Coturnix japonica: one gene and its partner. The protein of the gene in region 2 interacts with the protein of the main gene of each other region in a pairwise test. Links are inferred from orthologs where the notes say so. Each region holds a gene or a part of one and is shown on either strand. Other genes may lie near its edges.

What was found.
Region 1: the proteins of ARL3 (region 2) and ARL2BP interact in binary tests that used the Homo sapiens proteins (3 or more experiments, as listed by UniProt). The link is inferred for Coturnix japonica from reciprocal best matches to the Homo sapiens genes ARL3 and ARL2BP.

Annotation. Positions count from the first base shown.
Region 1 is NC_029526.1:1,740,301-1,745,153, reverse strand, and holds the start of ARL2BP (ADP-ribosylation factor-like protein 2-binding protein), read left to right. Parts: upstream 1-1,637; 5' UTR 1,638-1,860; coding exon 1,861-1,898; intron 1,899-3,713; coding exon 3,714-3,775; intron 3,776-4,449; coding exon 4,450-4,556; intron 4,557-4,736; coding exon 4,737-4,822; intron 4,823-4,853. UniProt on the Homo sapiens protein: Together with ARL2, plays a role in the nuclear translocation, retention and transcriptional activity of STAT3. May play a role as an effector of ARL2.
Region 2 is NC_029521.1:20,421,742-20,426,552, reverse strand, and holds the start of ARL3 (ADP-ribosylation factor-like protein 3), read left to right. Parts: upstream 1-1,696; 5' UTR 1,697-1,813; coding exon 1,814-1,816; intron 1,817-4,811. Other genes in the region: SFXN2 (sideroflexin-2), read right to left, coding at 1-76, 215-313, 684-854, 1,103-1,263. UniProt on the Homo sapiens protein: Small GTP-binding protein which cycles between an inactive GDP-bound and an active GTP-bound form, and the rate of cycling is regulated by guanine nucleotide exchange factors (GEF) and GTPase-activating proteins (GAP).

The DNA of each region.
Region 1 (4,853 bases), on a different chromosome or scaffold from region 2:
CGCACCTTGCTTGCTGTGTGTCAGTCCTGCTCTGAGCAGGTTTGGGGCCACACTTTGTATTATTGGTAGGGATCACACAGGGGGGAAATGTCTGCTCCACTTGAGTTACATGTTTGTGATGTTTCTATGTTGAGGATGTGTTTCGGCAGCAGCTTTTGACCCACTTAGTTTGGTTTCTACAAGGAATCAGGGTTCAGTTGGTGAAGTAGCACAAAAGTCAATGGAGTTCTGCTTATTTTGCACCCAGGCTGTAGAACTCTCTCTTCCAAGAATCGTACAGGTTGCTTTTATTAAATGATTGGGCTATATAGTAGAACTCTATTAATTGGTACCTTATTTACACCATCACCATCCCACTTCTTGGCAGCGGTTCAGTAGAGGAGACTGTCGTAGCAAATCTCATGCTGTGAGCTGTTTTATTCTCCAAGTCTTTTACCATCTTTGTTAGGAGAGCTGAGATGTATTCCTCACGCTGAGTACTTTTGCTTCCTGCTGACCAAGGAGCGGAGAGCACTGCACACAGGTCCCAGAATCGAGCTGTCTGGCTGTTCCTCTCACATTCTGCCTTCCATAACTCAAAGGTGCTGAGTCTAATCCAGAGGAGGAGATGGGGGGGTACAGGGGAAATGTCCCTCTGAGCCTCACGTAAAAGCGGTTCCCTAGGAAAGTTCTGTGCATCGTTTTCTCGTTGAGCTTTTTTCCCCAACTACAGACTGTATCAGGAGTGGAGCGAGGGTTGTTCTTGCTGAAATGTGAATTCTCTTCCAGCTGTTGTGATGAAGGTCAGGATGGCAAATAGGTGCCTGGGGCACCTCGTATCCTCACGGACTGTACTGTGCAAAGTTCAGGTATTCTCTACTTTGCCATTCTGCTTTTCAGAATCTTTAGAGATGAAATTCCAGATGCTTCCAAATGCAGCAATAGGCACAAAGATACAAAGCAAAGCGTGCTGTAGAGGAAGGAGTGGGACAGAACCGCTTCGCACTCTGCCTTAATAGATGCAGCTTTGGGTTCCTTGGCCAGGATTAACTGAGATATAACTCCCATGTGCCTGGGGATCCTGCTCAGTACCAAGTGCTGTATGAGAGAGGCCCACAGAGCTGTATGGGTGTCCAACTGAAACACAGGGCTCCAAATAGCCCAGGTGTCTTTGTGGACATGGCTCTGGGTGCCTGCGTGCTGTCTGGACAGGGAGACCCGAGTGCTTTGCTGTGCAGAGGGGCCGGCTGTGTTGCAGAGCACTGTGCTGTTATTTCACGTATGGAAAAGGCTGTAGATGGGGCTGGGTTTCTGCTGGCATCCGCCATAGGGGGCTGTCCTGCTGTGGGGCTCTGAGGGGTGGGAAACCCAAGAAGGGGGAGAAATGGAGCGTGGCACAGTCGTCTGTTCGGAAATAAAACGTCTTGAAGAGTGTTTGTCGGGTTTTATTGTGCTGCTGCTCGTGTTGGGAGCTGGGTTCGTGGCCTCAGCTCTGAGGGAAGCGCTTATAGAAGACGGGCCCCCCCAATCCCAACTGCTTGGCGGCCTACTATGGCGGCGCGCCCCTTCTCCCATTGGCTCTTCGTAGAGTGTGGGCGGGACTTCTGTGGCCGCTTCTGCTCTGCGATTGGCTGCGGGCGGGCCGGAAGGAAGCGTTTCCAAGGTAACAGCCTGGCCGGGAGGTGGCCTAGGGGGGAACTGGGGGGACAAGGCCTGTGTGTGCGCCGGGTGGGCCCTGCCGTCCTTATAGCTTAATTAGCTTTAATTAGCTTAATTAGCGTTATATTAACGCCTCACCGTGTGAATCCTCAGCGCTTCGGCTCAACACAAGGAGGATTGCAGCCAGCTGCGGTACGGCACGTTGTCTGTGATGCTGGAGGGATGGAGAGTTCAGAGGAGGAGAACTTCGGTGTAGCTGTGTGAGTACGAGCCGTTCTGTGTCGGGTCCTGCTTAAAGTATCTCCATAGGGATTTAATACGAGAGTTAACGTGTGCTGTGCTGCCCGCTGGGTGGGTGAGGGCAGTGCAGAGCCATGGGATGGAGGGGCATCCATTGAGTCCCAACTCCATGCACTGAGCAGCACCTGGTGGCCCTTGTAGCGATGGATTTAAACTACAAGAGTGGGGGTTTGGAGGGCTGCACAGCGGGAGGGCACTGAGCTCCTGTGGGTGCCCATGATTTGCTGCAGGTGCTCAGGGTCAGGCTTCATAGAGCCTTGTGCAGCCTGAGCCATAGGAGATGTACACACCTACAGTAGGGCTTGGGACTGGGTGGGCTTTAAGGTCCCTCCCAGCCCAACTGTTCTGTTTTTCTATGGCATAACCAAACTTTACACGTGTGGGTGTTAAGGTTCACCCTGTACTTCCTGGCCTGCTCTTCCCCTTCAGCCACAAGCTTTAGGTGATGTGTGGCTGTGCTTTACACTCCTTCAGATTCTTTTATTACACCTCAAGGACATGCAGGCCCTTGGGCTGCTACAGCAGCACAGGTTGTGCCGACCTTGTTGTGCTTAAACCACGGGGTTTGTGAGCGTGTGTTTGCTGAGATGTGCAGGTATGGGTGCACACAGAGAGGTGCAATCTGCTGGTGTGGAGCAGCTACAGTTGGGTGACGTGCTCCACAAGCTGAAACTGGCTTCAATTAATAGAACAAGCTATGAATTATAAGCTGGAAAAGGCTCTAAAAATGGTGGTAGTGTTCACTGGGAGAGAGAGAAATAAGAAAAGCAAATGATCCTTAGCATGTTCTCCTTGCATAGCAATGTGAAATGAGAAGCTCCGTTGCTTCAAGTCAGAAAGTCGATGCTCAAGGAGTGCAGAGCTGCTGCTGTCCTGGGTGAGCTCCTCTTCTGGACAAGCTGTGCCCTCTGCTGGAAGTGCACGCATTCAGCTTTGGGCTTCCCTTACTTCATCTTCTAAGCTTTAACAGGTCCCAGATGTTGCTGGAACACGGGCTGGTGCTCAAATGTCTTTGTTTTTTCTGGTCAGGGTGAGCCCTATGGCTGAACAGTTAAACTGCTCTTGGCTTCATTCTGGTGGACTGCTGTGTGATAGCAGCACAGTCTGAAAGAGTTCTGCTCTCTTAGAGCTGTTGTGTCTGAACAAGAAAATTAGCAGAGTCCTGAAATGCTGCTGCCCGAAGTTCCTTCCCTGGGTGTGTTCAGATCAATAACGATGCTTAACCTCTGCTTATTACAGAAGGAGCTTATGAGGCTTTGCCCTTTGTGTGTAGCATGCAGCAGGAAAAGCATTTAAGTTTCTATAGAGAAATAATGCATATATTAAGCAACTCCACAAGACCAAGTGCTGCAAAATAGCATCTAGTGTTCTGTGGTCACCATGTTGAGTGATGCAAGAAAAAGAACAGAAGGAAATATTGTGGTAGAAGCCTGGATTTGTGGCTCAGGAAATGTTTAATTTGGTGTTACAATGATATTCTTCCTGTTCTTTTTGCATCCGGACTGGAATCACTTAACAGTGATGCCAGTAAAACAACTTTTTAATTAGGAAAACATTATAGATGCCTAATGAAAATCCCACACAGCAGTCTCTGATCTGTCCAATCGACATTAGACATTGGTCTAATGGAGTATTTTCTAGGTTAACAGTAGCAAATTGTTCTTGCTTAAGTTTACTGGGCTTGTTTGTACTTGACCATTCCTTAACATCTCTAAGGTTTATTTTTCCTGTAGTTGAAATGTGCATTTATGCAGTGCCACCTTTTGTGCTTTCAGCTCCTCCCCATCTGATGCAGAGTTTGATGCTGTCATTGGATACCTGGAGGATATCATCATGGGTAAGCTCAGCAAGCAGGCAACAAGATGGGTGCTAAAAATGCTGCATGCACACAGCCAGTCTACCCTATACCTGCTGTCTTTCCTTTCTCCTCGTCATCCCTGCATTAAAATAATGTACAGGAAAGTATTTTCTATGCTGTTTGCACAACAACAGTCTGCAACGTGGCAGAACTTTTTGGTGGTAAGAATGTTCAGTAGAGCCAATCTATGTGAGCAGAGGCAATCGTGAGCTCTCAGCTTAACCAAGAGGTGTGCAGCCTGCTTGTTGTGTTGAGTTTGGTGGTAACTTGCCTTATTCATCTCCACAACTGGGGAAAAAAAAGCCTTCAGTAGCTGACAGTCTGACAGTCTGGCTGATACTGTTGAGTTTGAGAAGCTGTAGGAAGAGAATCGACTTCAAATTCCATCCTGAGGGCAGAGCTGCTGCCAAAACACAGCGATGTGCTGCTGCCCGGGTGATGCGCTCCCTCAGCTGGAGCTGCTCCCTCTGTCCTCTCACAGATGGGCCAGGATGTGGCCCAGCAGCAGCAGCTGTGCTCGTGGTGTGACTGCCTGCACGTGTGCCAGGCTGGTGGCTGCCACAGGGAAGCAGAGGAGCGGTGACAGTGGGGTTTCTGTTGTGAAAAGAATGACTCAACTCCTAACTAGATGATGCCTTTTTGTTGTGGTCCAGATGATGACTTCCAGTCCATACAGAGGACTTTTATGGAGAAGCACTACCAGGAGTTTGATGATTCAGAAGAAAACAAGCTCATCTACACTTCTATTTTTAATGAATATGTAAGATACTTCTTATCCTTCATATGGATCACTCTTTGATTTTACTAAGGCCAATGTCAGGCCTTGCATTCTCCCTTCTGTAACTTGCTGGGTTCGTGAGGAGGGGGGAAGAAGGGGGGAATTCCTTTTCTTTTGTTGGTTTTGATTGATTTGATTGACCTTTGTGTGTTTTCTTTTAAGATCTCCTTAATTGAGAAATACATTGAGGAAAAACTGCTCGATCGGATTCCTGGTTTTGATATGACTGCTTTCACAATGTCTTTGCAGTAAGTCTTCTGCTTTGCTGTTGCTGGGGGG
Region 2 (4,811 bases):
CTTGGTGTAGAGGTTGAGTCCCACAGCAGTGGCCAGGGCTGTTGAGGTGGCTGTGACGTAAGCCACTCCTATTTGCCTGGTGATTTGCAACAGATGCATGGAAATATAAAATAAAACACTGCCTTTGACACTGAGATCCTCTTCCTTTGGTGCCTGAATGTCTTTTTGGTGCATCCCACAGGCACCAGGTGTCCCATCACAGGGGCACACTTACGCCAGAGAGATGGGGGACGCAGCATTGCGGTTGGTATAGTTGACAATGGCGTTGAAAGATTGGTTCACCCACTGCCAGAACACCACAGCTGGCACTGTCCTGCAGAGGGAAAAGGGCCCGCAGAGCACCCAGGTGCCATCAGGGAACAGATAAGATGCCCTCTGTACCCTTGTCCTGGTGTCTGCTGGGGGAAACTGAGGCACGGCAGCCTGAAGTCAAGGAGTGAAGCAGGGGCAGGGCTGGGAAATGAATGTGTATGAGAGGGTCTTGCAGACAGCACAGGAGGAGGCATAGCCCTGAGGGGTTTGGGATGAGAATGAGATCCACCTGGCCCTCAGTGATGCATGCAGCAAGCTCATGGGGACAGAGGTGTGTGAGAGCAACCCACTCCTGAGCCCATAGCATTAGAGCCCCTAGAGGAGCTGAGGGCCATCCAGGCTGTGTCCCAACTTGTGTCCCCAGCTCTCACCGGTAGAACTGCAGCATGCAGCCAGTGAGGGCCATGCCACCCGGCACCTGGAAGGACATCCTGCCAATGAGGTTCATCTTCTCACCACTGTCAGGGTGGAAAGCCGAGTCGTACAGTTTCTTGGCATAAAGCAGCTGCTCCTGGCTGCTCCCCGGTGGCACCATCCCGGCCCTGAAAGGCCGAAGTCACAGCAGCTCAGCCACGATAGCTCAGGGCTCCCAAAACCCCAATAAACACCCACAAAAACACCTCTGACGGATCATAGAATCTTTTGAGTTGGAAGAGCCCCTTAAAAGTCATCTAGCCCAACTCTCCTGCTACAAACAGATACATCTACAGCTCCATCAGGGTGCTCAGATGCTGCACCAGCGCTCGGGCAGGTGCCAGGCACAGCCCCAGCACCACAGCTGTGTGCTCACCTGCATCCTGCCACCACGGCCTGCGCCCGGTCCAGCTCCCCCTCCGGCACCAGCACAGTGCGCGGGTCGGTGATGTTGAAGAAGTGCCGCAGCCGCCCCATGAAGGTGCTCTGATCCCAGCGCGGGGCATCGATGTCGAAGCCGAGGGGCACAGCAGCCATTTTGGGATAGCGCCGTGCTGCTGCGGAGCGCTGCACCGAGTCAACTGCTGCGGGTTTATATTTAACAGCTGGCTTGGACTTTCAGCGACCCGAGGCGCTGCTGCCGCCGGCCTCCTGCACTGCACACTGATAACCGCACACACCCCACGGCATGCACGCTTCCAACGGTGCTAAGCCGCATTCCCCCCCCCTTCAAGGCTGCTGACTGCACACCCGTGGAGCTGCACAGCCACCCGGTGACGTTCATTGCAATGCATCGCATCGCGCAGTCCCCACTCAACCCGCGCCCCCACCCCACGTGTCCCTACCTGCGCGGCACCCAAACTTTTGGCGCGCCGCGTGGCCGCCCTCAGCCAATCAGAGCGAGCCGAGAGGCCGCGCCCACCTGCCGCGTGCTCTCAGGATGGGGGCGTGGCTACGATTGGCCCCGCCCCCTCCCGCGGGCCCCGCGCGCGCGCTCCGTACGTCCGGCGGGAAGCGGTGACGTGCGACGTAGCGGCGGCGTGTGTGTGACGCAGTTGCCCATGGTAACCCCGCTGCCGCGTAGAGGATGGTGAGCGGGGCGGGGGCGGCGGGCCGGGCCTGGAGGGAAACCGGGGACATGGGGGGGAACGGGGGGAGATCGGGGACATGGGGGAGACGGGGGAGACTGGGTGGGCAGGGACGGGCCGCGTGGGTCGGGTCGGAGGAGATCGCTCGGCCCTTGGGGCGTCCGGCCCGACGGTCGGGGCGTGGGGGGATGCGTGGGGTCGGGGGGAAGCGGAGCCGCAGAGGCACCGTTGGCCCGAGGGGAGATGGAAGGGAGGATGGGCTGAAGGGACACGGCAGTGATGGGGGCAGCGACCGAGCACCGAGTGCTGGGGGAGCTGTGACCGGGGAAGGACCATGGACAGGGCAACCAGGGGGAAGGGGGGGTGGTGGTGGTGGTGGTGATGGTGGTGGTGATGGCCACAGCACAAGACATGGGATGTTGGAGTGGAGCACGAGGATGCTCAGAGGGATGGAGCACTTCTCCTATGGAGACAGGCTGAGGGGCTGCGCGTGTTCGGCCTGGAGAACTCGGCTGTTCAGTATGGCTTCAGTGTGGCCTTCCCAGAGAAGGTTTCCCCATCCCTGGAGGAATTCAAGGCCAGCTTGGATGGGGCCCTGGGTGAGCTTTAAGATCCGTTCCAACCCATCCGTCCTGTGCTGGTTCCTGGGGGCTGCAGAAGTTGAGGGAGCTCCAGGAGGGCATGCAGAGTTGGAAGGGCTGTTGATAAATAGCCTTAAAAGGGGAGCTCAGTCTTGGCAAAGAAGCCTGGGTGAAGGAGCTGGGTGTTTGGGCTGAGACACTGCCCAGGGACTGGGAGAGACCAGGGTGGGATGACCAGTTTGGGGGATCACTGTACCGTGCCAGTCACTGTTGGCTGGCTAGGATGGGTTGCTGGGATTTGAGTGCTCTTGGGTTTTCTGCCATGGGCTGAGGAAATGGGGACAGCACAGGCTGAAGAGAGAAGAACTCATTGTGGGAAGGAGTAGAGGAACTTTGGTGCTAGTGAGAGAAAGAGACGAACCAGAAGGGAAAGGAATGCTCAAGTGTGGAAACAAAGTATTTGACGGGGAGCAGTGTTCACTGAGAGGAATTGGAGCCTCACTGTGAAGGGTCTGGTAAGGACAGAGGGCATCGCTGGGAGACAGATGTGTGGTGAGGGTGAAATGTTGCCTGTATCAGGTTAGGGTGGGGCTGAGTGATAGACTTGGGTGCTGGATGCTGCAGTAGTTGGGGTGGGATGGGAGATGCTGGTGGAATCCGTCAAGGACTGTCAGGAAAGGATGAGTGGGGATCAGCAGAGGGGTGGCTGGGGAGCTGCAGCTGGGGTACAGCATGTGCAGAGAGCCCAGGCTGAAGGAAATGGTCATGTGGGAAAGAGCTTCTGTAGGGCAAAGTTGTGTTTTGTCCAGGAGCCCCCTGGATTCAAGCTGTATTAAAGCACAGGAGGAGGCATAAGTGAGAACAGCAAAGGCAGCTCCTCATCTTTGCTGAGTTGATGCTGGCTGCATCCCCACCTGCCGTGCCACAGAGAAAGAGATTGAGATAAAGACTGTGAGACCTGCTGTATTTTAGATCAGGCGATGATGGAGCTTGTCACACCAGGCACCAAAGCCATCACAGGATGGACATCTGCTGTGGAGATGAAGGCAGCTGCCTCCAGCAGCTTTGTGGGACACATTTGGCCTGCAGCTGCTACCAGCCAAATCTGCTCTTCTGCTTTGTGATGTCCTGATAAACTGGTGTAGTCTGGGATCTGGCTGTTGTTATGTGAGCGCTTTGTGCACGGGGAGGGTGGACTGGGTGTTTTCCAGTGCTTGTGCTATTTGCTACAGCATTTTAATGCTTCCTAGTCTATTTTTCATTTCTGAGAGTTCTTGGAGTTGTAGCCTCTCAAATGGTGTGGGTAAAGGACTGGCTGGGCTGGGCAGCAGTTCTGCTTGCTCCCATTCCAGTGGTAAGATGGTTAATGCTGACGTTTAAATTATTTCACTGCTCATCCGAGTAAGCGCAGAGGGGAAGTGTCTTGTTCTGCAGAGCATACCAGCATTTCTCACAGCTGTGAGGCAGGGGTGCTGGAAGGTCGTAGGTGGAGCACAGAGGGAAAGATGAGCCATAAAAATGCATAGCATGAGAGATGCGTGGCGCTGAAGGCTTTGGCTCGGTTGAGCAGCACGTGTGCTGGGCTCACAGCAAGAGTGAAGGGAGATGTTACATGAAAGGGTGAGCAGCCTTCAAGAGTTGTGGAAGTGCTGTGTGAAGCAGAGCTTGCGTCCTGCTTGTCTACACCAAGTGAGATGGTTGTTGCTGATGGGTAGCAGGGCTGGGGGACGACCTGAGTTCTTCTAAAGCTGTTGACTGAAGATGACACTGCTGCATCAATCCAGGCCTGTCAATGCATGGCCCCACTGTGCAGCCAAGGAAACTGAGTCACGGAGCGGTTGGATGACACCAGGCAGATCTTGGTCAGAGAATGAAGGACCGACATAGCAAAACGTGTAGTCAGACATCTTCCTCCTGGCCTCGAGCTCCCAGTTGTAACAAAAGCAGCAAGTGTTGCTGCCTGTACTGCTCAGAATTTTCCTTTTGCCCCTTGTCTGACATGGAGGCTGTACCCAACCGACCCCATTAAAACAAACCATTTTCCAAAGCTATAGCAGTGCTCTGCTGCTCCAGTTTCCTAGCAGAGCTGCACGTCACACATCTTTCATTTATTTACTGGTTGTGCGATAGCTTTATGGGAAACGATGTGCAGGGAGTGCAGCATACCAACAACTGGAGGAGGTTTCCAAGTACTGCACTGCTGAAGGGGAGACAAAGCGGCAGGCATCAGCAATGCCCTGCACAGGGCAGAGCGCTTCCTTGAAGTCTGCAAAGAGCAGAGGAGTTTGATTTTAATTATGAAAGGAGAACTCATGCTGGTGTTGGTTAATGCACCGAGAGAGCGAGTGCCGTGTGACCTCTTTGACAGAAAACTGTGTTAGTAGGTTTGAGCTGGAAGAGCTCTGTAGGTGACTCG